4 linked regions of the Macaca fascicularis genome follow. The protein of the gene in region 1 interacts with the protein of each later gene in a pairwise test. Links are inferred from orthologs where the notes say so. Each region holds a gene or a part of one and is shown in the gene's direction. Other genes may lie near its edges. The genes, in order: UBQLN4, PTN, SPP1 and PRPF40A.

What was found.
Region 2: the proteins of UBQLN4 (region 1) and PTN interact in a two-hybrid assay, tested with the Homo sapiens proteins (2 studies listed by BioGRID and IntAct). The link is inferred for Macaca fascicularis from reciprocal best matches to the Homo sapiens genes UBQLN4 and PTN.
Region 3: the proteins of UBQLN4 (region 1) and SPP1 interact in a two-hybrid assay, tested with the Homo sapiens proteins (2 studies listed by BioGRID and IntAct). The link is inferred for Macaca fascicularis from reciprocal best matches to the Homo sapiens genes UBQLN4 and SPP1.
Region 4: the proteins of UBQLN4 (region 1) and PRPF40A interact in a two-hybrid assay, tested with the Homo sapiens proteins (2 studies listed by BioGRID and IntAct). The link is inferred for Macaca fascicularis from reciprocal best matches to the Homo sapiens genes UBQLN4 and PRPF40A.

The regions. Positions count from the first base shown.
Region 1 is NC_088375.1:105,028,642-105,034,434, forward strand, and holds the start of UBQLN4 (ubiquilin-4), read left to right. Parts: upstream 1-2,489; 5' UTR 2,490-2,603; coding exon 2,604-2,711; intron 2,712-4,297; exon of another isoform or gene 4,298-4,465; coding exon 4,466-4,617; intron 4,618-4,994; coding exon 4,995-5,212; intron 5,213-5,783; coding exon 5,784-5,793. Other genes in the region: ragulator complex protein LAMTOR2, read right to left, coding at 889-1,051, 1,357-1,424. UniProt on the Homo sapiens protein: Regulator of protein degradation that mediates the proteasomal targeting of misfolded, mislocalized or accumulated proteins.
Region 2 is NC_088377.1:178,926,758-178,931,944, reverse strand, and holds part of PTN (pleiotrophin), read left to right. Parts: intron 1-2,406; coding exon 2,407-2,522; intron 2,523-3,735; coding exon 3,736-3,909; intron 3,910-5,187.
Region 3 is NC_088379.1:93,529,904-93,535,572, forward strand, and holds the start of SPP1 (osteopontin), read left to right. Parts: upstream 1-1,884; 5' UTR 1,885-1,974; intron 1,975-3,051; 5' UTR 3,052-3,065; coding exon 3,066-3,119; intron 3,120-3,228; coding exon 3,229-3,267; intron 3,268-5,669. UniProt on the Homo sapiens protein: Major non-collagenous bone protein that binds tightly to hydroxyapatite. Appears to form an integral part of the mineralized matrix. Probably important to cell-matrix interaction.
Region 4 is NC_088386.1:48,222,752-48,228,468, reverse strand, and holds the start of PRPF40A (pre-mRNA-processing factor 40 homolog A), read left to right. Parts: upstream 1-1,976; 5' UTR 1,977-2,159; coding exon 2,160-2,435; coding exon of another isoform or gene 2,436-2,561; intron 2,562-3,658; coding exon 3,659-3,790; intron 3,791-5,132; exon of another isoform or gene 5,133-5,164; coding exon of another isoform or gene 5,165-5,212; intron 5,213-5,717. Other genes in the region: ARL6IP6 (ADP-ribosylation factor-like protein 6-interacting protein 6), read right to left, coding at 766-1,165.

The DNA.
Region 1 (5,793 bases):
TTTAAAAAATGTGGCCGGGCACAGTGACTCACACCTGTAATCCCATCACTTTGGGAGGCCGAGGTGGGTGGATCACTTGAGCCAGGAGTTTGAGACCAGCCTGGGCAACATGGCAAAACCCAGTCTCTGCAAAAAATCCAAAACTTAGTGAGGTGTGGTGGTGCATGACTGTAGTCACAGCTACTCAGGAGGCTGGGGCAGCAGGATCACCTGAGCCCAGGGAGGTCGAGGCTGCAATGAGCTGTGATCGCATCACTGTGTAAGATTTATTAGGTCTGGGGGTTTTGTCTTTCTGTTTGCTGTTTTTTTTTCCCTAGTCCTGAGAACACTGCAAGGACCTAAATATTTGTTAACTGAACAGATACTAGGAAGTTCACAGTCTAATGGCGACTTCCCCTTTCTGGACTTCATTTTCCTTTCTTTGTAACCTTAAGGGGTTGGACTAGGGTCTGGAGACTGCCATGGTTCTGTGAGTCGGTGAAGCTGGGATGACAACACTTTGTGTTTGCACGTCATTCTACTGTTTATACCCATTATTTCATTTGACCTTCACAACAACCCACGAGGGGAGCGGGGAGAGGGAAATTGTCTTCTCCTTAGACATGAGGTAAGGAAGCTGAGAGAGGTTAAGCGACTTACCCAAGGTTCCACAACTGATAAGTGGATGGCTGAGACCAGAACCCAAGTCAGACCTCTCAGGTCCAGGGCTCCTTCCTCACCACCACTTGATGAATAGGGTCCTGCCTATTACAAATGCTGCTGCAGACCAACTCTTAGTAATCTTCCGGAGATCCTGTCCCTGCCCCTCCAACCATCCAGGATGGGGTCCAGGTCGCCCCCTTGGGATCCCCTTGGGGGACAGGGGAAGTCTGGCTCCCCTCTCCATACCATGCAGTCCATGAGGATGAATTTGAGATTGTCTTCATTAAATGCTTGGTTCCCGTTCCGGTCGTAGGCGGCCCAGATGTTACTGGCTATGGCAGCGGTGACCCGGGCGTCAGTGTCCCCGTAACCAGAGTAGGCCAGCAGTGATCCCTCGTTATTCAGCAGCCTGGTGAGGGGCGGGGAGGGATAACGATGTGCTCAGCGCGGGGAGTAAAACGTCTGGGTTTCCATCTCAAGTCCCGCCACGGGCACATCCAGCAAGGCTCTCGGCTGAGTGTGTCCCGGAACGTGCCCTAAGCACCCAGCACACCGGCCTCCCTTTTCGAGAGGTGACCTCCCGGCCGGTACCCCCAGCCACTGCCCCCTCTGACGCCTCCTCCCTTCCGGGCGATCCTTCCCCACCCCTCCCTCAGGGAGTCGCACGCCGCTCCACTGCAGCGCGCGCCGCTGGGGTCCGTGGTCCGCACTCACAGGGTGCTCTGGACGCCTCCAGTGTTGGCTTGGCTTAGCACCTGGGTCAAAGCCTTGGGGCGCAGCATGCCTACCGCTCCTAACCCTGGGTTTTTGCACCCAGATCCTCCGAGATGCCTCCCGCGGGCCGCTGCCCGCTGCTTCCCGTAGTCCCGTTGGCCTGCTCCGGGATGCCCTGGGAGTTGTAGTTTCCTCGCCTGGCTATTGTGGTTCCGACTCAACACCGCCCCGCCGCGGGGGTCTCTGGGAATCGTAGTTCCTCGTGACCTCGCGAGGCACCATGGGAACTATAGTTCGCCTTTCCAGGCGGACCACGCGGTTGTGGGGGCGGAAAAGAGCGGGAGTGAAAGGACAGCTGCAGCGCTGGAAGGACATTTAACCCCTTCGGGGAGAAAGGAATCAACGTGTCCGCTTGGCAGTCCACGATTCAATAATTATACTACATCCTCATATTTGTCAGGCACGCCTTTGGTTACTTTCAAAACAGTTTTCTCCGTTATGCACAATTCTGTGCGATGAGGCGAGAGGTACTATTATTATCTTGAGGAAATCAAGGCTCTGAAAGGCCACGCAGCCAAAACCCAGCTCCCTGGAACCGTTCGCAACAGACCATTTAGGCCGCGACCCTCGGGGCTATAGGGTCAGTCCTAGAGCTGAGATCCTAAGTGGACGTGCTTGGTGGGAAAACCCAACCTCCAAGTCGGGAAAGGCCCCTGGCCTGGAAGGGACTTGGGGCTTCCAAGAAAGACCAAGTTATCACAGGGAACGGAGATAAAGCGGCGACACACAAAGTCCTTTGTCCCGGAGCAGAGTTAGCCGCGGAGGGGGCGGGGAGGCTTTGGGCCGGAGGGGACGGCGGCACGGCTCGGGCGAGCAGCGTTGGGCCGCGGTCTCCCGGGGAGTTCGCCCTCGCCCCCGCAGTGAAGGGCACGTCCCTTCCCCCGCCCAGAGCCTCCCCAGGAGCCCCAGCTTGGCGAGACCCTGGCCGGATTCCGGACCTGGGGCTTGGCCCTGGGCGGACCCCGCTGCAGTGGCCCCCCCGGTCCGCCCGGGGCGCTGTGGCTGCGGCTGGTCTGGAGGGGGCGGTGAAGCCTCTGGGAGGGGAGGGGAGAGGAGGGGAGGGGAGGGGAGGGGAGAGGTGGAGAGAGGGGAGTGTTGGAGGCGCAGGAGCCGAGCCGGGCCGGCCGGGCGGGCGGGGAGGAGGAGGAGCCGGGCGGGCTGGCGGGCGGCCGGGTGGCGGCGGCGGCATGGCGGAGCCGAGCGGGGCCGAGACGAGGCCCCCTATTCGGGTCACCGTCAAGACCCCTAAGGACAAGGAGGAAATTGTGATCTGCGATCGAGCCTCGGTCAAGGAGGTAGTACAGCAGGCGGGAGGCGGGGGGAGCGCGGAGGAGGGGTCTGCGAAGAGATGGGGGCCTCCCTGACGGTCTGGCGTCCTGGAGGGCCCCGGAGAGGAGAGCGGGGGCCAGCTGGGACTCCGAGGAGCTGAAGGGAAGGAGAGTCGGGTAGGGGGCGCCCTGCGAGGGGAGATATTGGGGAGCGTGGCGCGTGTTGGGGGGCGGGTTTTGCCTTGTGGCCTGGGCTGGGGGCGTGGTGGAGAGTGAGGAGGGGACACCTTGCACCAGGAAGGGGGAAGGACCCTGGGTTTGAGGGGAGTGTGCCGGAGTGGGGGCCCAGGGAAGGTGCTAACCGAGAGAACGGGCCGGGGGCAGGCGGAGAGCGCCGGCGCCTACTCTGTACCTCAGAGAACGCCCAGTGTTCTCTGAGCGACGGGGCTGTCGGGGGAGGATTTCCCTGTGCCCAGATCCTTCCCACTCTTTGAAATCGACGTGGTTACATTTGGTTCTCAGCTCTTCTGAGATTTACACGGTGTGCAGTAGGTGCTCAATAAAATCTTGTTGAATGAGGGACTGTTGCCTGTGCTTGCCACCCACTGTGGCCGCTCCATAATTTCACATAGGCGGGGCTTAAGATAGGCCATCTGGTTGGAAGAGAGGGATCTGGAAGCTGCCTCTGCTTAACAAGTGCACTGTTTCTACTTAAAGTGTGTGTTGTGTTTTGTTTTGTGTTGTGTTTTGGAAGGGCTGGTAGAATTTGGGAAGTCTAACTCCATCCTTGCTCCCTCCCTAACCACATAGAATTACTAAATTTCAGAATTTAAATACTGTACTGTTCCCTGCAAAGCTGAATTTGAAAATGGCTATCATTGAGAGACTGTATGTTTAGTTAAGAGCCTGGACTTCGGTGTCAAGACCTGAGTTCTGGTCTGCCTGTGGCAAGTTACCTTACCTCACTGATCCTCAGTTTTCTCATCTTTAAAATGGAGATAAGGCTGGGCGTGGTGGCTCACGCCTGTAATCCCAGCACTTTGAAGAGTTGTAGTTGGGTGGATCCCCTGAGGTCAGGAGTTCAAGACCAGCCTGACTAACATGGTGAAACCCCATCCCTACTAGAAATACAATTAGCCAGGCATGGTGGTGTGTGCCTGTAGTCCCAGACACTCGGGAGGCTGAAGCAGGAGAATCACTTGAACCCAGGAGACAGAGGTTGCAGTGAGCCGAGATTGCGCCACTGCACTCCAGCCTGGGCTACAGAGCCAGACTCCATCTCAAGATAAAAGTAATAATAAAATAAAATGAAGATGATAATTACTATACTATATCTTTAACTCGTGAATAGATAGTGCTCAACAACTGACATCTATTTGTTGTAGTTGTTACGAGAATGCTGGGAATAGAGAGGAGAGAAAATTGGGTCTCAGAAGGCTGAAAGTCCAAGGCTGTTGAAGGAGTTGGGGTGGGGGGAGGCTGCCCTGCCTCACAGAGAACTAGTTGGAGGGACTGAAGCTGGGAGGCAGATGGCAGCAAGAGCTTTCTCAGGTGGGAGACTCTGGGATGGAGCTAAGAGAAGAGCCTCTCACTGGTTCATCTCCTTTGTTAAGAAAGGAGATGCTTATTGCAGCTGGAGGAATGGCATCGAGACTACAGAAAGGACTTCCCATGACTAGAGATGAGAGCAAGAGAGTACAGAAGCTGTTGAAGAAGAGTCAGGGTCCCTGGTAGGGGGAGTCCAGGCAGCCTCCACAGTGACCTCTGCCTCTTGATCACAGTTCAAAGAGGAAATCTCCCGGAGGTTTAAGGCTCAGCAGGATCAGCTGGTCCTGATCTTCGCAGGCAAGATCCTCAAGGATGGGGACACACTGAACCAGCACGGAATCAAGGACGGGCTCACTGTCCATCTGGTCATCAAGACCCCTCAGAAGTAAGTTCAGGAGCAGAGCAGATCCAGCTTCTGATTGGGCCTCCCCATTTAATACTTTCTCACTCATTGCTAGACCGTACCCAGAGGGCCTAAGCTGAGGCCCAGGCAGGTAGCTCCTGGATGAATATGATCTCCTCTCTAGGGGAAGGGAACCTGATTTACCACTCCCAGAATGCCCTGAAGACAGATAATACTAGCTCCTTTCTCCCTCTGCTGGTTTACTGACTGCCCTCCAGCCATCACCCCACTCCAGCCTCAGGGCTGCTAGGAGGGGGCTTGAGTTAAAATAGTAGTCCCACGGCAAGCACAGAGATTGTCGAGGTACCTTCCCTCTTCTAGTGCTCACTCCAACAGGATTCTCCTTTCTCTGTCCTCAGGGCTCAAGATCCAGCTGCTGCCACTGCTTCTTCCCCCTCCACACCTGACCCTGCCTCAGCACCCTCCACCACGCCTGCTTCACCCGCCACCCCTGCCCAGCCCTCCACCTCTGGCAGTGCCTCTTCAGATGCTGGCAGTGGAAGCCGGAGGAGCAGTGGTGGGGGGCCCTCTCCAGGGGCTGGGGAGGGACCCCCCAGTGCTACTGCATCCATACTCTGTAAGCCCTCAGAGAGGAGAGCACACTCTTGTTTGGGGTTGGAGAGTTGGGGAAAGCCAAGAGGAGGAAGAAACAGGAGTTCCTGATCCTGGTCTGGTGGGATAGGGGACCTCATGACGTAGAGTTCCAGACATTGATACTTGATTCAAGTTGGGGAAGAAACTAGTCTGAGGAGTTCTCAGAGGTGGGGATCATGGCTAAGGGTTAGGAGTGAGGGCAGAAATGGGGTTGGGGATGTGGGGAACCCTAGGTAGAGAATGGAAGACTGTGAGTCTGGGGAAAAGTTAGATCCAGCAGTAGCCAGATGGGCCACTCATTCAACAGACCATTGCTGGTTGCCTTCTCTCTGCTCAGTTCTATGTTTGGTGCAGCCTCAGCCTTCAGAGAGGCCTCAGTCTAGTAGGCTCACATTTTTTTGCCAGCAGTGGATCAGGGCTGGGCTGTGGGAATGATTGGAAGAGGAACATGTGAGAAGCATTTGGGGCCTGTCCTGGAGATCCAAATTCAGTGGCTCTGGCTAAGTGAGGACAGGGATCTTGTGGCAGACTGTGACCCTGCCCCCCTCCCACAGCTGGCTTTGG
Region 2 (5,187 bases), on another chromosome or scaffold:
TGACCATTCATGAGGAATTAGGTTGGTGCAAAAGTAACTGTGGTTTTTACCATTGCTTTAAGGGTGAAAACCATGATTACTTTTGCACCAATCTAATATAATAAGAATTTAGCCTCAGGAGGAAGACCAAAGCACCTTATCTTATATTGTAGAAAGTGCTGGAGATGGTGAGTAGCTAATCTAGGCTTGTGATTCAGGGAAAAAACTAAAGGTTCAAAATATTAATTTTAATTGATAAGTGAAGTATGCTTCATCAATATGCTGGAATTCAAAGTCATCAGTTTTAAAAAACAACACTAATTTACATTCCCACCAACAGTGTAAAAGTGCTCTTATTTCTCCACAGTCTTGCCAGCATCTATTATTTCTTGACTTTTTAATAATTGCCATTCTGATTGGCATGAGATGGAATCTCATTGTGGTTTTGATTTGCATTTCTCTAATGATCAGTGATGTTGAGCTCTTTTTCATGCTTGTTTGCTGCATAAATTTCTTCTTTTGACAAGTATCTGTTCATATCCGTTGCCCACTTTTTGATGTTTTTTAAAAATAAATTTGTTTAAGTTCCTTGTAAATTCTGGAAATTACAGAATTTAAGTTCAACCATTGTGGAAGACAGTATGGTGATTCCTCAAGGATCTAGAACCAGAAATACCATTTGATCCAGCCATCCCATTACTGAGTATATACCCAAAGGAATATAAATTATTTTACTATAAAGACACATGCACACGTATGTTTATTGCAGCACTATTTACAATAGCAAAGTCATTGAACCAACCTAAATGCCCATCAATGATAGACTGGATAAAGAAAATTTGGTACATATGTACCGTGGAATACTAGGTGACGATAACAAGGAATGAGATCATGTCCTTTGCAGAGACATGGGTGAAGCTGGAAGCCATCGTCCACAGCAAACTAATACAGGAACAGGAAACCAAACACTGCATGTTCTCACTCATAACTGGGAGTTGAATATTGAGAAGACACGGACACAGGGAGGGGAACAACACATTCCAGGACCTGTTTAGGGGTGGGGGGTGAGGGGAGGGAACTTAGAAGACCGGTCAGTAGGTGCAGCCAACCACCATGGCACATGTATACCTATGTAACAAACCTGCATGTTCTGCACATGTATCCCAGAACTTAAAGTAAAATTATAAATAAATAAATAAATAAATAAATAAATAAAAATAACACTAATAAGAGGCAGCATATCCAATGCCACAGAAAAGTAGGAAAATTCACTGGCAAGGATATCACCTCATAGATATTTTTGAATGAGAAAAATAAATTAGAGAACAGAATAACCTCAATCCCTTATATACATGAAATGTTTTATTGTTCACACTAAAGAGAATGTTAAAACACGTAAACTAATCTATTACTACTTCTGGAAAAAAATTTATCAGCCTGTGACCATAGGTCATTACTACCATTTTTACATAAAGTGTAAAACACCACTAACACAGCAAATGGAGCTCAATAACTGCCAGGCAAGTTGCTGCAGCCATAGTTTGGTATAGCCATTGGGAAGTGGGTTGTCCTGGAGGTTGGACTAGACCTTCTCAAGGGTGTTTTGGCCAAGTAACCATATTGACACTAGGCTGTCACAGGTGGCTTCAAGTTCTAGGAGAGTCTTTCCAATGATATCTTGGGATTTCTGATTCACATCAAATGTGAGCATTTCCTATTATGAGTGAGTGTGAAGACTTTACCATATCTTAACATTTGAGGATTTTTAGCACGTGTGAGTTTATAAGTGTGTTTGATATGTGTCACAGGTGTGCTAGCTCTACTTCTGGGATTCACTCTTTGGTAGATCAATAAGTAATGGAATAGTGATAAAATGATAGTGATGATTATGACAATGATTTTAAAAAGGTCAGAGATATTGGTTGTTTTGTATGCATCTAAATAGAATCAGTAAACATATATTTGTATAGGTAATTCATTCATCATGTCTACTCAGATTGGTCTTGTGTACTGTGATGCCTTTGCTGTGGTTGTTTCTAAGATTGTCAGAAATTTTGAAGATGGCTATAGTTGTCGATATTACCAAGTGATGCTATCAGCAAGGCTGTAGAACTGTGTTCAAATGCATGCCTTCAAAGTTCTTTTGCTTCCATAATTTCTGAGTCATACTTAGCAAATGGTTGTGAAGTCTTATGTGAAGAACTGTTGCATTTTGTCAGTGAATACGTGATTGATTGCAGAAGAGCACTTATTTCAATGGCTGTTGGTGAGAATAGATGAAATTCTACCCAAGATAATTGATATGAATCTTCCTGAAATCTAACATTCCAGAAATGGAAAGTGGAGCCTTTCATCAAGGGGTTCAATGAGTCTTCCTCTCTGACTTAGGTTAATGCCACCTTCTTCTCTTTCTCTGTTTATTCCTAGAATGCAGGCTCAACAGTACCAGCAGCAGCGTCAAAAATTTGCAGCTGCCTTCTTGGCATTCATTTTCATACTGGCAGCTGTGGATACTGCTGAAGCAGGGAAGAAAGAGAAACCAGGTAAGCAGTAGGGTTCTGAAGGCAAGATGCTTCATTGATTAATGTCCATCTAGCCTAATTACCTGCTTTTCCTTCATCTCTTCTACTCTGCCTCTCTCCCTTCCTATTCCTGTATTCCTTCAATCTTCCCTTTTTAAAAATAATTATTTAGAGGAACCTAAGAAATATCCTGTCTCCCATTGCAAGTCCTGGATTGCATGACGATGATGGTCATTAATATAATGATCAAATTAGCAGCTACTATGTATAGAACATTGACCAGCAATCAGGTGCTTTATTATGTTACCTCTCTACCTCAAAAAAAAAAAATGCACTGCAACTTGTTTTTCTCCTTAATTTCAGATTTACAGAGGAGGAAACTGAGGCACAGAGAAGCTAAAGCACCTTCTCTACGCCACTCTCAAAGTCATAAGTAGGCTGTGGAACTGACAGTCTGTTTAAATCTGTGATCCACCATATATGTATGATGTCATTCCTTCTACAAGACAGAGAAAGGAACAATAACTTGCACTGAAATGGCTCATTTGACAACTGTTATTTCTTTCTTTTTTTTTTTTTTGAGATGGAGTCTTGCTCTGCCACCAGGCTGGAGTGCAGTGGTGCAATCTCAACTCACTGTATCCTCCATCTCCCGCAATTCTCTTGCCTCAGCTTCCAAAGTAGCTGGGGCTACAGGCATGCACCACCACGCCCAGCTTATTTTTGTATTTTTAGTAGAGTTGGGGTTTCACTATGTTAGCCAGGATGGTCTCGATCTCTTGACCTTGTGATCTGCCTGCCTCAACCTCCCAAAGTGCTGGGATTACAGGCATGAGCCACTGGGCCCGGCTGACAACTGTCATTTCTAATAGAATATTTTCTCAATTTTTAGGCTTAACTATTTTTGATCATCTCTTCTTTTATAGAAATATTTGCTTCTAAAAGGAGATGCCACTAAGTCACTTAGCAAAGTCTCTGGCACATAGTAAGAGGGAGTTAAATTAATACTAGTTTTAGCTCTTTTCTCAGTTTTCTTTCTCTCTTCTCTTGATCATTCTTTGGTTCAATACTTTGGTTAATATTCGTCATATTTCTATTATTCACTGGACAATAAGGATAGAGATTTAAAAAAACACACAGATCCTACAATTAAGGTTCTCAGGAATGAACTTGGTTATATCTGGAAGTTAAGGAGTTTTCTGTATGTTGATTAGGTTTTCTTCCTTTCATTCAGAAAAAAAAGTGAAAAAGTCTGACTGTGGAGAATGGCAGTGGAGTGTGTGTGTGCCCACCAGTGGAGACTGTGGACTGGGCACGCGGGAAGGCACTCGGACTGGAGCCGAGTGCAAGCAAACCATGAAGACCCAGAGATGTAAGATCCCCTGCAACTGGAAGAAGCAATTTGGAGGTAAGCTTCATGCTACTGAGTTAATCTCCTACCCTAAGATAATTCTCAAATTTTTCCACCAAATGTCTTTTTAAGGATGAGTACTTTTTATTTTAAATAACTTTATCTTATCAGACACAAAGTGACCAGATATCTTTCCCAACCCCAGTGTTTCTCAACTTTGACACTGGTCCCATTTCAGGCCAGGCAATTCTTTGTTGTGGAGGTTGTCTTGTGCATTTTAGGGTATTTAGCAGCATCCCCGGCTTCTACTCACTAGTTTCCAGTAGGATTCCTCACCCACTCCAGATGTGAAAACTAAAAATGTCTCCAAATATCTATGGCCAAATGTCTCCTTGTGGTCAAAATCATCCCTGATTGGGAACCACTGCCTTTCCAAAGGGACATAAAATATATCCTTGATTCCTCCTAATAATGTTCGTTGATATATCTTCTCTCTCCTTTCTTCTATTTCTAAGTTCCTTTGATTTCTCCTTTCCCCTTTTCTTGTTTATTCCCCTTCTTCTCCATGTCCCTCCCTGTCACTTTCAGGCCTTCTCTCTCATTTGATCCCTCCCCACCCTCCACACAGGTTCACAGATTCACTTATTGAGTCCAGCAGGGCTGCTCACAGTCACTTTTCATAGATCTTTCTCCCACTGGCTAGAGTCAGTCTTATGCTGGCCTGATCTATCTATCTGAGACAGGATCTGTCAACACTTTCAACTTTATATCCAATATTGAACCCTCAAATAACCTCTTTCTTCCACGATCCAGAGTTTTTGTCTTTGGGGACATGATTCCTGAAATGTCCTACCTGTGTTCTGTGGAAATGCACTGTGGCCCATAGACAAGTGAGGAAGAACAATGGATGTATACACGTACATCTTTTTCTCCCTCTGTAATCTTTGGGGTATTTTCTATTTGAATGGAGATAGATAAGTTCTATAAAAGTGTGATGGAGAACAGGTACATTTGGTCTTAAACTGTATCTGGGTACCTCAAAAACCTATTTTCAAAAAGTTTAAACGGTCTATCTTAAAGACTTATATTGAAAATATTAAATAACTCTCAAATTCAACAGTAAACAACAAAACAACAGCAACAAAAACAAAACAACAAAACAAAACAAACAAAACTTAACAGTTCAGTAAGAAAGTGGGGAAAAAACATTAACAGACCTTTTACCAAAGAGGATATATAGGCAACAAATGAATTCCTGAAAATGTATTCAACATCTTTTCCTTATTAGGGAACTAGAAATTGAAACCATAATGAGAGATCACTCTACATCTATAA
Region 3 (5,669 bases), on another chromosome or scaffold:
TCATATGGTTCATCTCAAGATGGTTGGGCTCCAGCATAATCTATTCCTATAATTAATTCTAGCTTCATATTGAATCATTCCCGTGGGCCAGAGTAAACTACAGTAAATCCTGTGGAAATTTTGTTGTTTTTAGAATTTTCGGACTTCCCTCCACTAAATTGACAACATGACAAGCTTATGTGGGTAATATGTTTAAAGGAAAAAAATAGTTTTTAAAAGCAGAAAAAAGAAGTCTATTTTGCAACTTTATAATCTGTGTGCTTTCTATTTTATAGAGATAGTTGTCATCTTACTTATTAAAATGGGTGCTTATTACCTACAAGCCAATAATATCAATTCATCTGGAATACATCCAATTTAAGGGAGACATATTTCCCCCTACCAAATGTTCATGAAACCTACTTATTAGCTATATACTAACACTGCAAGAAATTATTTAATCTATATTTATGTTAAAAGTAATATTTGGCAAAAAGAAGCTGACACTTTAGAACTAATAAAAACCACAATTACTTTTGCAGCAACCTAATAATAAATAGGACCATTTATTTTTCATCTTAATCACACACAAGTCTTACAATAAAGGTGTAAGGTAAATAAATAGTGCAATCTGCATTTCACAACTGAGAAAGCAGATGAAGTAATCTCAAGACAATGTTAAATATTTTAAAAGGACCCAGAGCTCTGCTATCCCTGAATATTCAGACTTCCCCTGTAATTTTCTTTTATTCAAATACGTTTTAAATACCTAGTAAAGTGTTTTTTAATCCAGAAATTTTTAAAAATCTTTTTCTTTTTAAGTAGCCTAATTTACATACCCTGGGAGAAAAACTAGAAAAAAAGATGATTCCAAAATCGAATCTGTTCCTTTAGAAATGCGCAAAATTTCCTTATTGATGCATACCATTTAAAGATCTTACATCTACTCTCATTTTAATAACCTATTCTTTTTAAAGACATTACAATTCGTGACTGCCTGCCCCTCTTAAAAATTTCATACTAGTTAACACACATACACTCCTTAAGATACGCAGGGCATTTGTATCTAATATGTGCTAAGCATTGTTAGTTTAACATACTAATTCATTTAAACCTCTCAAAAATCCCATGACCTAGGTAATAGTATCTGCATTTTATGGATGAGGAAACAAGGATAGGTAGGCTGGGCGATTTGCCCAAGGTTGCACAGGTCAGCAGTGACACAGCGGAATTCAGAGCCACAGTCTGGCTCCTGAAGCGGCCCTCTCAGGCAGTCATCCTGCTCTCAGTCAGAAACTGCTTTACTTCTGCAACATCTAGAATAAGATACCATTCTTCTCTTTTATATAGAATTTTATATTTTAATGTCACTAGTGTCTTTTGTCTAAGTAACAAGCCACTGCATACTTGAAATCACAAAGCTAAGCTTGAGTAGTAAAGGACAGAGGCAGGTTTTCTGAACTCTTTGCAGGCTTGAACAATAGCCTTCTAGAAATATAGTTCTTCAATAAGTATAATCATATAGGCAAGAGTGGTTGCAGATATTACTTTTATGTTACTTAAACTGAAAGAAACAAAACTCCTTTCTATTTAATCTTACATTAATGTTTTTCCCTACTTTCTCCCTTTTCCATGGGATCCCTAAGTGCTCTTCCTGGATGCTGAATGCCCATCCTGTAAATGAAAAAGCTAGTTAATGATACTGTACATAAGTAATGTTTTAACTGTAGATGTGTGTGTGTGCGTTTTTGTTTTTTTGTTTTAACCACAAAACCAGAGGGGGAAGTGTGGGAGCAGGTGGGCTGGGCAGTGGCAGAAAACCTCATGACACATCTCTCCGCCTCCCTGTGTTGGTGGAGGATGTCTGCAGCAGCATTTAAATTCTGGGAGGGCTTGGCTGTCAGCAGCGGGAGGAGGAGGCAGAGAGCACAGCATCGTCTGAGACCGGACTCCTGTCAGGCCAGTTGCAGCCTTCTCAGCCAAACGCCGGCCAAGGTATGCCTTCAGTTTGCTACTGGGTTGTGCATTCAGCTCAATTTCATGGGGAAGTTCAAGTTCTAAGGAAAAATATTTTTAATTGTAATGCTGTTAAACAGATTTAAATTTTCTAGCCTTTTTAATAAGCAGATTAGATACATTGCAGGTCTCCTGGAACAAAGGTGTCTAGATATTTGGAATGCCAATCAAATATAAAACTTAAAAATACTTCCACTGGGTCCTCAAAAGAACGGAAACTACTGCGGCTAATCAGAAAATAGTAAAATTCAATTCCCCTTTGGAATAATTATACCTATATCATTTTCAACGGGTGACTGCAGGAATGTAAAAGAAAAGGGATCTTTTACACTAATTAAGCCAATTACAATGCTATTTTTTAAATGATGTATCTTATTTTCAAGGGGAAGAAAACTCTTTCTGAATATGTTACTGCTAAATTTAGCTGTTAAAATATTCACCAAGATACCTGCATGACACTATGTAGGCTTATTATTACAAATAGAAAAGTTGTTGGCTATTTTCAATGTTTTCCTTTGCATTTCAAATTTTTAGAACATCTTACTTAAATAACAAATTTCAGAGATAGTTTCATTTCACCTAAGTAGCATCTACTTAATAATTTAAGCTAAAAATCACATTTAAAGTACATATTGGAAAAACGAATAAAGCAAATTTTTTTCATTTTTTTATCTGTGCTTTTTCTTCTCTAAAAAGCATTCCCATACTAGCTTATTAATAGAATTAAGTTACTGTTGATCTGTTTGTAGGTTTAGTAGAGCTAGATATATAAGGTAGTAATCGTACAATTTCTGGAACTCTAAATTTAAAAGTTGAATAAATACAGACTTGTAAAATTTCCCTTTCCCTTACCTAATAAAGATGGAGAATAGGTGGCAATATAAATATTAACTTGAAAGACCATAATACTAAAAAGAAAAGGCTTCTCTAAGAAGTAGAAAAGATTTTACAGAAAATATATTTTATTTGTGATTATTTTGTAATGTGGTAGTACAAAAAGGTACCATTGTTTTAACCTATGAGGATGTCAGCTATTCCTTATGAAATGTTTTGCAGGAAAACTCACTACCATGAGAATTGCAGTGATTTCCTTTTGCCTCTTAGGCATCGCCTATGCCCTGCCAGTGAGTACAACTGAATCTTAAAGAAAATTCCTGAAAATAACTGAATTATGTGCTTCTATGTGCTAGGAGGACATTCTTGTAATCTTTCTTCATCTTTTCTGTTTCAAAGGTTAAACAGGCTGATTCTGGAAGTTCTGAGGAAAAGCAGGTAAGCATCTTTTAGGTTTATTACATAGTGAAATCATTTACTCAATTACAGCGAGAGGCGCAACAAACATATTTGCTGCAAGATTACTTATCTTCTCAGTCAAATCTATTGGTTTACAAGTATTTATTGACTGCCTGCTATGAATCTAGGCCAGTACCAAGCACAGTATAGTTTTTAATAAATATAAGTTTGTAAAACCAACCCAGATATTTTAAATATAATAATGTCTAGGCCAGTATAGCATGTAAGATAGAGTTATACGAAGCTGTGTGACTTTTTTTCCATTAGTCCACATATTGATCTAAAAGCAGAAAATTCCAGCTTTTGCTTTATTTAGTGGATTGCTAAGTTTAAAATTCACATCAGATATTAGTCAGAACTGTTTGTATGACCATAATATTCACAATATCGTCTGAGATATTAGCTGAGAAGCCCATTGTGAAAAGAAAGTCTATGTGTGCTGTTTGTATCTATTGTGATTGTCAGCTGATGTTAGATCACATTTTCCAACCAAACATAAGACCAACCAAACTCTTTATTATAATTATTTGACCAGCACTAAAGATGTACCTACCCCTCCACAACAGATGAAACCGTGCCAACCAAACAACAAATGGGCATTGTCCCCAGCAGCTTGGACAAAAAGGCACACAGAGTTCAATTCCAGTTGAACAGAATAAAGGCCAAAATAAGAGTTGCCTTGGGGGTCACTGCAATTAGATTTCTTAATGAAGACATTAAAAGAAGTATTCTGTGTGTGTTTGTGTGTGGGGGTGTGTGTGTCTGTTTTCCAACTGATTTGAAAACACAGATGTTGACTCCTAATAATAAAGCAGAAAAATTAACATCTCCAGAGAAGATAGAGGTCATACTATTTCAGGCAAGAATTAGTGCCTTTTTAATAAATGAAAACATGGCAAAGATGCATTTTAGAAGGCACGTGGAGTCATAACAATTTAAGAAATCTAGAAGGCTCAAGGCCCAGCCTTCTAGAATCCCAGAAACTTAAAGCTAGTAAAAAATTGGGGAAGTCTCTAAGGATATATGCCTGAAAATACACACTGGTTATCTGTGAGTGTTAGGATTACTGGGTGGTTTTTAGTCTATTCATTTTGCTTACCTTTATTTTTTTCACATTAGGTTTTAAAAATTATAAATTTAATTTATAAATCCATTCTCTCCAAGCCTGTATTACATGTGTCATGAGAATAGATAGATAGATATGAAAAAGTGAAGAGAAAAACTCTGAACGCATCTAGTCCCATTGTTTCTGCATCTTCTTTTTTTTTTCTGGGACAGAGTCTCGCTCTGTCACTCTGTCGCCCAGGCTGGAGTGCAGTGGCGCAATCTCAGCTCACTATAAACTCCACCTCCTGGGTTCACGCCATTCTCCTGCCTCAGCCTCCCGAGTAGCCGGGACTACAGGTGCCCGCCACCACGTCCAGCTAATTTTTTATATTTTTAGTAGAGACGGGGTTTCACCTTGTTAGCCAGGATGGTCTCGATCTCCTGACCTTGTGATCCGCCGGCCTCAGCCTCCCAAAGTGCTGGGATTACAGGCGTGAGCCACCGCGCCCAGCTGTTTTTGCATCTTCTTAAAGCAAGGAACCCCTTCTTTCAGCAAAACCTTTCAGAGAAGCCCAGTATGAAGCCCCTCTGGTTAGAGCCAGCCATGAGAGAAACTCTAGTACTTCTGACTGGTTTTCTCTCTACCCATCTACCCCTTAGGTGGCTGCAGAAGGGACTCTGTACAACCCCCAGAGTTATTCTGAATGACAGGGACATGTAATGATTGGCCCTGAATGATTCAGCAGATCAGATGACACTTACACAGAGCAATTTCCACTCCTCTGCAGTAGCATATTATCAGTATTTTCCAGATAAATAACTTGGCTAAAGAAAAATCCATTTCATTTACATCTTTGGCACCTTAGAGCTATAGAACTTTTGTGCAATGATTTTAATATTATATTTCTGCATTGTCTGGTAAGATAGCTGCCAGATACATATGGCTATGGAGTACTCAAAATGTAGCCTAGTGCAACTGAGGAACTGAATTTTTATCTTATTTCTTCGTTTTTTTTTCTTTTGAGATGGAGTCTCGCTCTGTCGCCCAGGCTGGAGTGCAGTGGCACGATCTCGGCTCACTGCAAGATCTGCCACCTGGGTTTACGCCATTCTCCTGCCTCAGCCTCCCGAGTAGCTGAGACTACAGGTGCCGGCCACCATGCCCGGCTAATTTTTTTTTTTTTTTTTTTTTTTTGGTATTTTTAGTAGAAAGGGGGTTTCACTGTGTTAGCCAGGATGGTCTCGATCTCCTGACCTCATTATCTGCCTGCCTCAGCCTCCCAAGATTTCAGGCGTGAGCCACTGTGCCCGGCCATTTCATTTTAATTAACTTA
Region 4 (5,717 bases), on another chromosome or scaffold:
GCTTTTCATACAAGAAAGTTCTTTTGTTTTTTTTTTCAGTAACTTGGCAAACGTCACAAACTAGTAAGAATGGAAATTTAAACTTAACTCTGCTTCCTTCCACTATAACATACACTAGCCAACTAAATTATACAACCGTACGCCTTGCAATAAACTTTCAACCGGCCAGTATTTCAACTTTTATTATTTTCCTCTAATAAAATTATCAGAGGAAGAGTGGACTATGCTTCCTGCAACAGAACTCTGTGCACTACACCTGGACACAAACTTAAAAACTGAAAGGCTAATTATTTTACGTATAAAAGTAGAAATTTGGACTATGCGATAAAAATCTTTGTCCCTCAGGATTCTGTGTAGAGGAATTGGTGGACAGCACATCTTTATTTGTGGATGAAGGCCACTGAACATAGATAGCCTATTTTAATTATATGCACTTTTCACAGTCTCCTTTTAATGGTGGGTGTTTCGCCTTTTGTTTAATCTTGACAGTATTTCATCCCCCGTGTTTAAGGACTTGAAGATATTTCTTCAAGAGTACCCATTTAATCAAAAGATCTTTTTTAAAAATGGGTCTCCTGATCACGGATCAGGACGCTCCACTTACAAAAGGGCTGGAAAGCAAAGTAAGATGCAAATGAGGACTCTGGGTGAAAGCAGCTGCCACCCTGCGGGCTTAGGCAGCACGAAGGGAGAAGGGTGGTGGCAAGAGCCACACCCTGACTCAACTTTACTCTGGACAGACTTTCAAGGCCTCGGCTTCAATACCTTTCACGATCAAGTAGGCGATGGCGAGGAGGAAGGCGAGAAGGATGGCGAAGAGCAGCGAGCAGAGAATAGAAAGGACCTGGACCGGCCACCGCCGAGGCTGGGTTCTGCTGCCCGCGGCCGCGGGAAAGATACCATTGCGCTTATCTGGCAGGACAGGCGACCCGTCCCCGTCCGGCGGGAGCAGCGAGCCCTTTCTGGGCTCTGACCACGCCCCAGCCGAGAACTCCGCCCGCAGGTCGCGGGCCACTTGGTCGCATCCCTCCTCCTCGTCGACTTCGCCTTCACCCCAACTGTCCCCCTGAGTAAAGGAGGAATATGTTGGCCCAGCCACAGGGCCCGGGGTCCCGGGACGGCGGCGCCGCAGAGCCGACCGCCACCCGCTCTCCGCTAACGACATGGCGCGAAGCACAGCGAAACCCGCGGAGTATGAGCCTCTCCCACCTGCCCCGCCCCGGGTCCGCAACAGCCAATCCGCGGCCGTGGCCGCTACCACCATGCCTCAGAACCCAGGGGTAAACCACGGAGAGCAAGGTTGGGCGGCGGGTTGCAAAGGAAGTCGTAGGGCCTGAGGAGAGGTGGGATGCGCTTGGACCAGAGCTCGACCCCAGGGCTGTAGCCGGAAGGGGGAGCAGGAAAGCGCGCAGCGAGAAGTGGGCGGAGGCCGAAGGCGGCCGAGTATCCACTCCCTGCGGCGCTTCATCCCTGCCGGAGACCTCCGCCACTGCCGCGTCACCAACGGGAGCGCGAGACCCGACAGCCCCAAAGCCGCATCTTTTCGACGCCGGGTCCTAGCGCCCGCCCGCGCCTTCGACACATTCACGAACCTATTTGCCTTCTCCCTTCTTCCCCTCTACGCTCACACTCTTCTCCAGGTTCCCCTATTAAGAAAGGGCAGCTCTCTGCCTGGTACTCTCGCGGTGCCTTCACTGCTCACCCCATCTCCCTTTAGTGTGGTTCTCCCCACCCGTACCACAACTTCCCTCACGCTACTCGACACGCCTCCTTCCTCCTCCACCCAGGCGCGCGCTCTCCACCTGGTGCGTACCGAGCTCGCACCCTCTCCTCGGAACCCCTCCTTTCGCCTTCCCCGCCCCCTCCCCTCCGCCTCGAGCACTGCGCGCGCGCATTCGGTCCCAGCCACCGCTAACACTAGAGGCTGCTTACCCCCGCCCCCTCCACCCTACCCCTGGCGGCCTCAGGTTTGTGGGGCGTACGTAACTCGGGCGGGGAGGGGGAAGGTGGCAGACCCCACTGCCCCACCCCCTACGGGGTGAGGCGGTCTAAGCTCGGGAAGCTGGGACACGGTTGTCTTCCCTTCCCCTGGGGAAGTTGGTAGAGTTTTCCCGACGGAGGACTCGGCGCAGAAACTTCCTCCGTCCTCCCCCCGCCCCATGCAGGCGACGCCGAGTGAGGCTGAGGCTGCGGGCGAATCGCCGCAGAGTTGCGTGTCGGCCGCGCATTCTGATTGGACAGCGGGGAAGCCCGTCAGCCTGTTGGCCTCGCTGATCCCGCCCCGTAGCGCAGGGCAGCCTTTAACCTTTAGCCCCAGTGGGCGCCAGCCACTCAGATCGCTTCTTGTTGGTATGTGTAGCGGCAGTGGCCGCCGGCGGAGCAGTCTGAGCCCGACGATGAGGCCGGGGACGGGAGCTGAACGTGGAGGCCTCATGGTGAGTGAAATGGAGAGCCATCCTCCCTCGCAGGGTCCTGGGGACGGGGAGCGGAGATTGTCCGGCTCAAGCCTCTGCTCCGGCTCTTGGGTCTCTGCTGACGGCTTCCTGAGGAGACGGCCCTCGGTAAGGGATCAGTGGGGCAGGGGGAAGGCGGCACAATGAAAAACGGAGTGAGAGAAACAGGAAGCTTTCTCCGAAAGGAGAAGAAGATAAGAGTGGACGAAGGAAGAACTCGAGATGGTGGGATATGTTGTGAGGGAGAGAAGTGGAGGGTGGGGATGCACAAAGAAGGATGTGAGACCCTGGAAGTACCCCGTAGGCTTGGCCTAGACAGATGCGTGGTGAAGGTGCTGGCTCTTGGGCGGGGTGAGCGTCTTGGAGCTTTAGGCCCGATTTAGCTGGAAGGGGGAGGGAGGGGCTTGATTCTGTAAGACTTTAACAGCGGCTGCCAAAATTTGTTTTCATTACTTGTGGGGTCGTCTGCATGGGGAACTGTTAGGACAATTGACAGGAGATAATTAGCTGGTTTTAATTTAAAACATGGAACAATGGACTCATCGGTAAAGAAAGTAGTTGTCTTTTTAAATTGCGTTGAAAGGGATGAATTAGTTGTTTGCATTTAGTGTCCGTGAGTAACAGAACCTCAGTCTTTAAAAATGTATTTTTGACAGAAGGAATTTTACCTGTCTTAAAGGTTATGTTAGGAAATAAGTTTGTTAGGAGTGAATTGTCCCTGGGTGGCACTACTGTTTGTGTTTTATAAGACTGACTTTCACCTGAGTTAATATGATAGAGCATTTTAAAGTTTAAAATCAGTAGTGTTATAAAATAACAATAGCTGGCTATTTTTTATATTTGCATGAAATAGAAGAATTGTTGTTTTCACTGTAACAGTTTTAAGATTAGTATTCAATATGTATCCTTCAAGCTTAGCAAGCCAGTTAGTAGCTGATTAAGTCAATGCTTAAAAAAAAGAGAAAACCTATGATCCAGCTGTCCAGTAATCATCTTAACTTTTCCCGTTTTGTTGCGGAATTTGCAAGCTCGTTTTAAATACTAGCAGAATGCATTTTGTTTAAAACAAGGTATAGATTAATCCAGTGACATTATTATGCATAAGCTTAATATTAGGTTGCTTCAGATAACTGATTTGTTGAAATGAGATTTTTGAGAAGCGTTTAGTATTATTTGCTCATTTAAAAACGTTCGCTGTTTTTCAGATGGGGCACCCTGGCATGCATTATGCCCCAATGGGAATGCACCCTATGGGTCAGAGAGCGAATATGCCTCCTGTACCTCATGGAATGATGCCACAGATGATGCCCCCTATGGGAGGGCCACCAATGGGACAAGTAAGAATGCTTTTATTTTATTTTGCATTTATTTATTTGTTTTTGCCTCAGGTATTCTGTCAAGATTTCAAAATCTAGGTCAATAGTTATAGCTGTTTAAGGATTAGTTTATGCCCGAATAATTTTAAATAAGCCAAATGTTGAATCATGACTGTAATGGAAATTTGAATGTAATGAAAAAGTCTCCTGAGAAATTTACTGATTACCTCAAAACTAAGAATTTTTTTTTTATTATTACTTAAAAGTAAAGTGTGCGTCCAGGCTTTTATTTTTAATAATTATTTTTTCAACCATGCCAATTGAAGTTAATGGTCTAAAAGTAAATATTATCTGATACAGCAACATAACTGATTTTGGTAGACCATGTAAATAAATAGAATCTGAAAATAGCAATTGTTTTGGTTTAGAGCGAATTTTATTCCTGAAATATCTTCCTCTGTGTGTGTTGGAGGAGAGTGAGGGAGGGTGGGGGGTTTGTGCTCTATAATTCTGATTCTTCATAGGACAGTGCCAGTAGGTACTTCATTTTCCACTTACACTATTTTTTTTTAATGCTTATTGCTTCTACACTCCTGCTTATGAGCTGTCCCTTCCATCTCTAGCATAAATTGTAAATGGACATTTTGTAGAAGTGATTTGGATCAAAAGGTTTTAATGCTGATTCAGTGATTTCGGTAGAACTGAGTTTCTAGAGAAGCATCTAAGAAAGGTAACAGGTTCAGTTACCATGAGTAATTTTGTGCTCCATGTTAAGTTCTATATAGATCTTTAGGTGGCTGGGTTATTTCCATTTGAGTATTTCCATAAATCATCAAAAATTTAGGCTAACAAAATATTTTGGAAGCCAATTTCATGTGATCTTTTGCTAATTAGTACTGTTTGATAATTGTTTAAGCTTTCATGGTTAAAGTTATTGGTGAAATTGCAGTGGGAAAAGGAGCTTGCTATGTGTCTGTCTCTTTTTACTTAACCTTAAGAGTAGAAGGGCTTAATGTCAAGTGATTTTCCTCTTTTTTTTTTAATTTGGAATGTTGCCCTTAATTTTGTTTAAAAAAAAAAAAAAAAACCTTTATTCAAAGACACCAGCCCCAAAAGATTCTGCTTGCAGGAGTTCTTTAAATAAAAGAGCCTTTTATTCTGTGACTTTAGAATAACACAAATTTTAAAACTCTCTAGGTGATGGAGAAACAACTTTGATTCCTCTTCTGTTTCTTTCCATCTCTAAGCAGCAAGGAGCTCTTCTTGTTTTCTTGGTAGAGCTGCTCTAACTAGATAATGAGCTTTAAAAATATTTATTCTTTAAATGCTCTGGTTCTTATTTAAAATTAGTTTCTTTCCACAGAAAGATAAAATAAAACAATTTGCTACTGCCAGATGCTTCTCTCTTTTCTGGGGCCTTCTGTTTCCATTGGGCCAATCAAGGTAAGTTTTGCAAGGGATTGACCTGCTTACCCTTGCTGTAATGGTGCTATTGCACTACCAAAACCAAGATACCAGCTAGTCATATTTCTAGTAAAAAAAAAAAAAAAAAAAATGCAGATTTTATTTTTTAAAAGTACTTTCATGTATCTCATTGACATAAGCTGGTCACAGTTTGCTTTATGGCCCTTTCTCTGTAGCTATATCAGTGACCATCTTTCTAGTAAGTTTACTTGGTATACATCCATTCAAATAACTGATTTTTTTTGTGTTGTTTCCTTCTACTTTTTCCTAGGCTAATAATACGCCATGTGCCTTTAAGTAGACCTAATTATTTAGATGTTTAGAATTCTTCTCCCTCTGAAGGCTCCTGTTAGTATAATAAATAAATGTTTTAGTAGGAGTTATGCTCTGAAAGTCCCAAAAGAATCTCCACTGTTTTTGTAAGATTTATATAATTCCCTTTTGCTAACAAATATGGGGCCCAAATCTTGGGGAAAAAAAAATT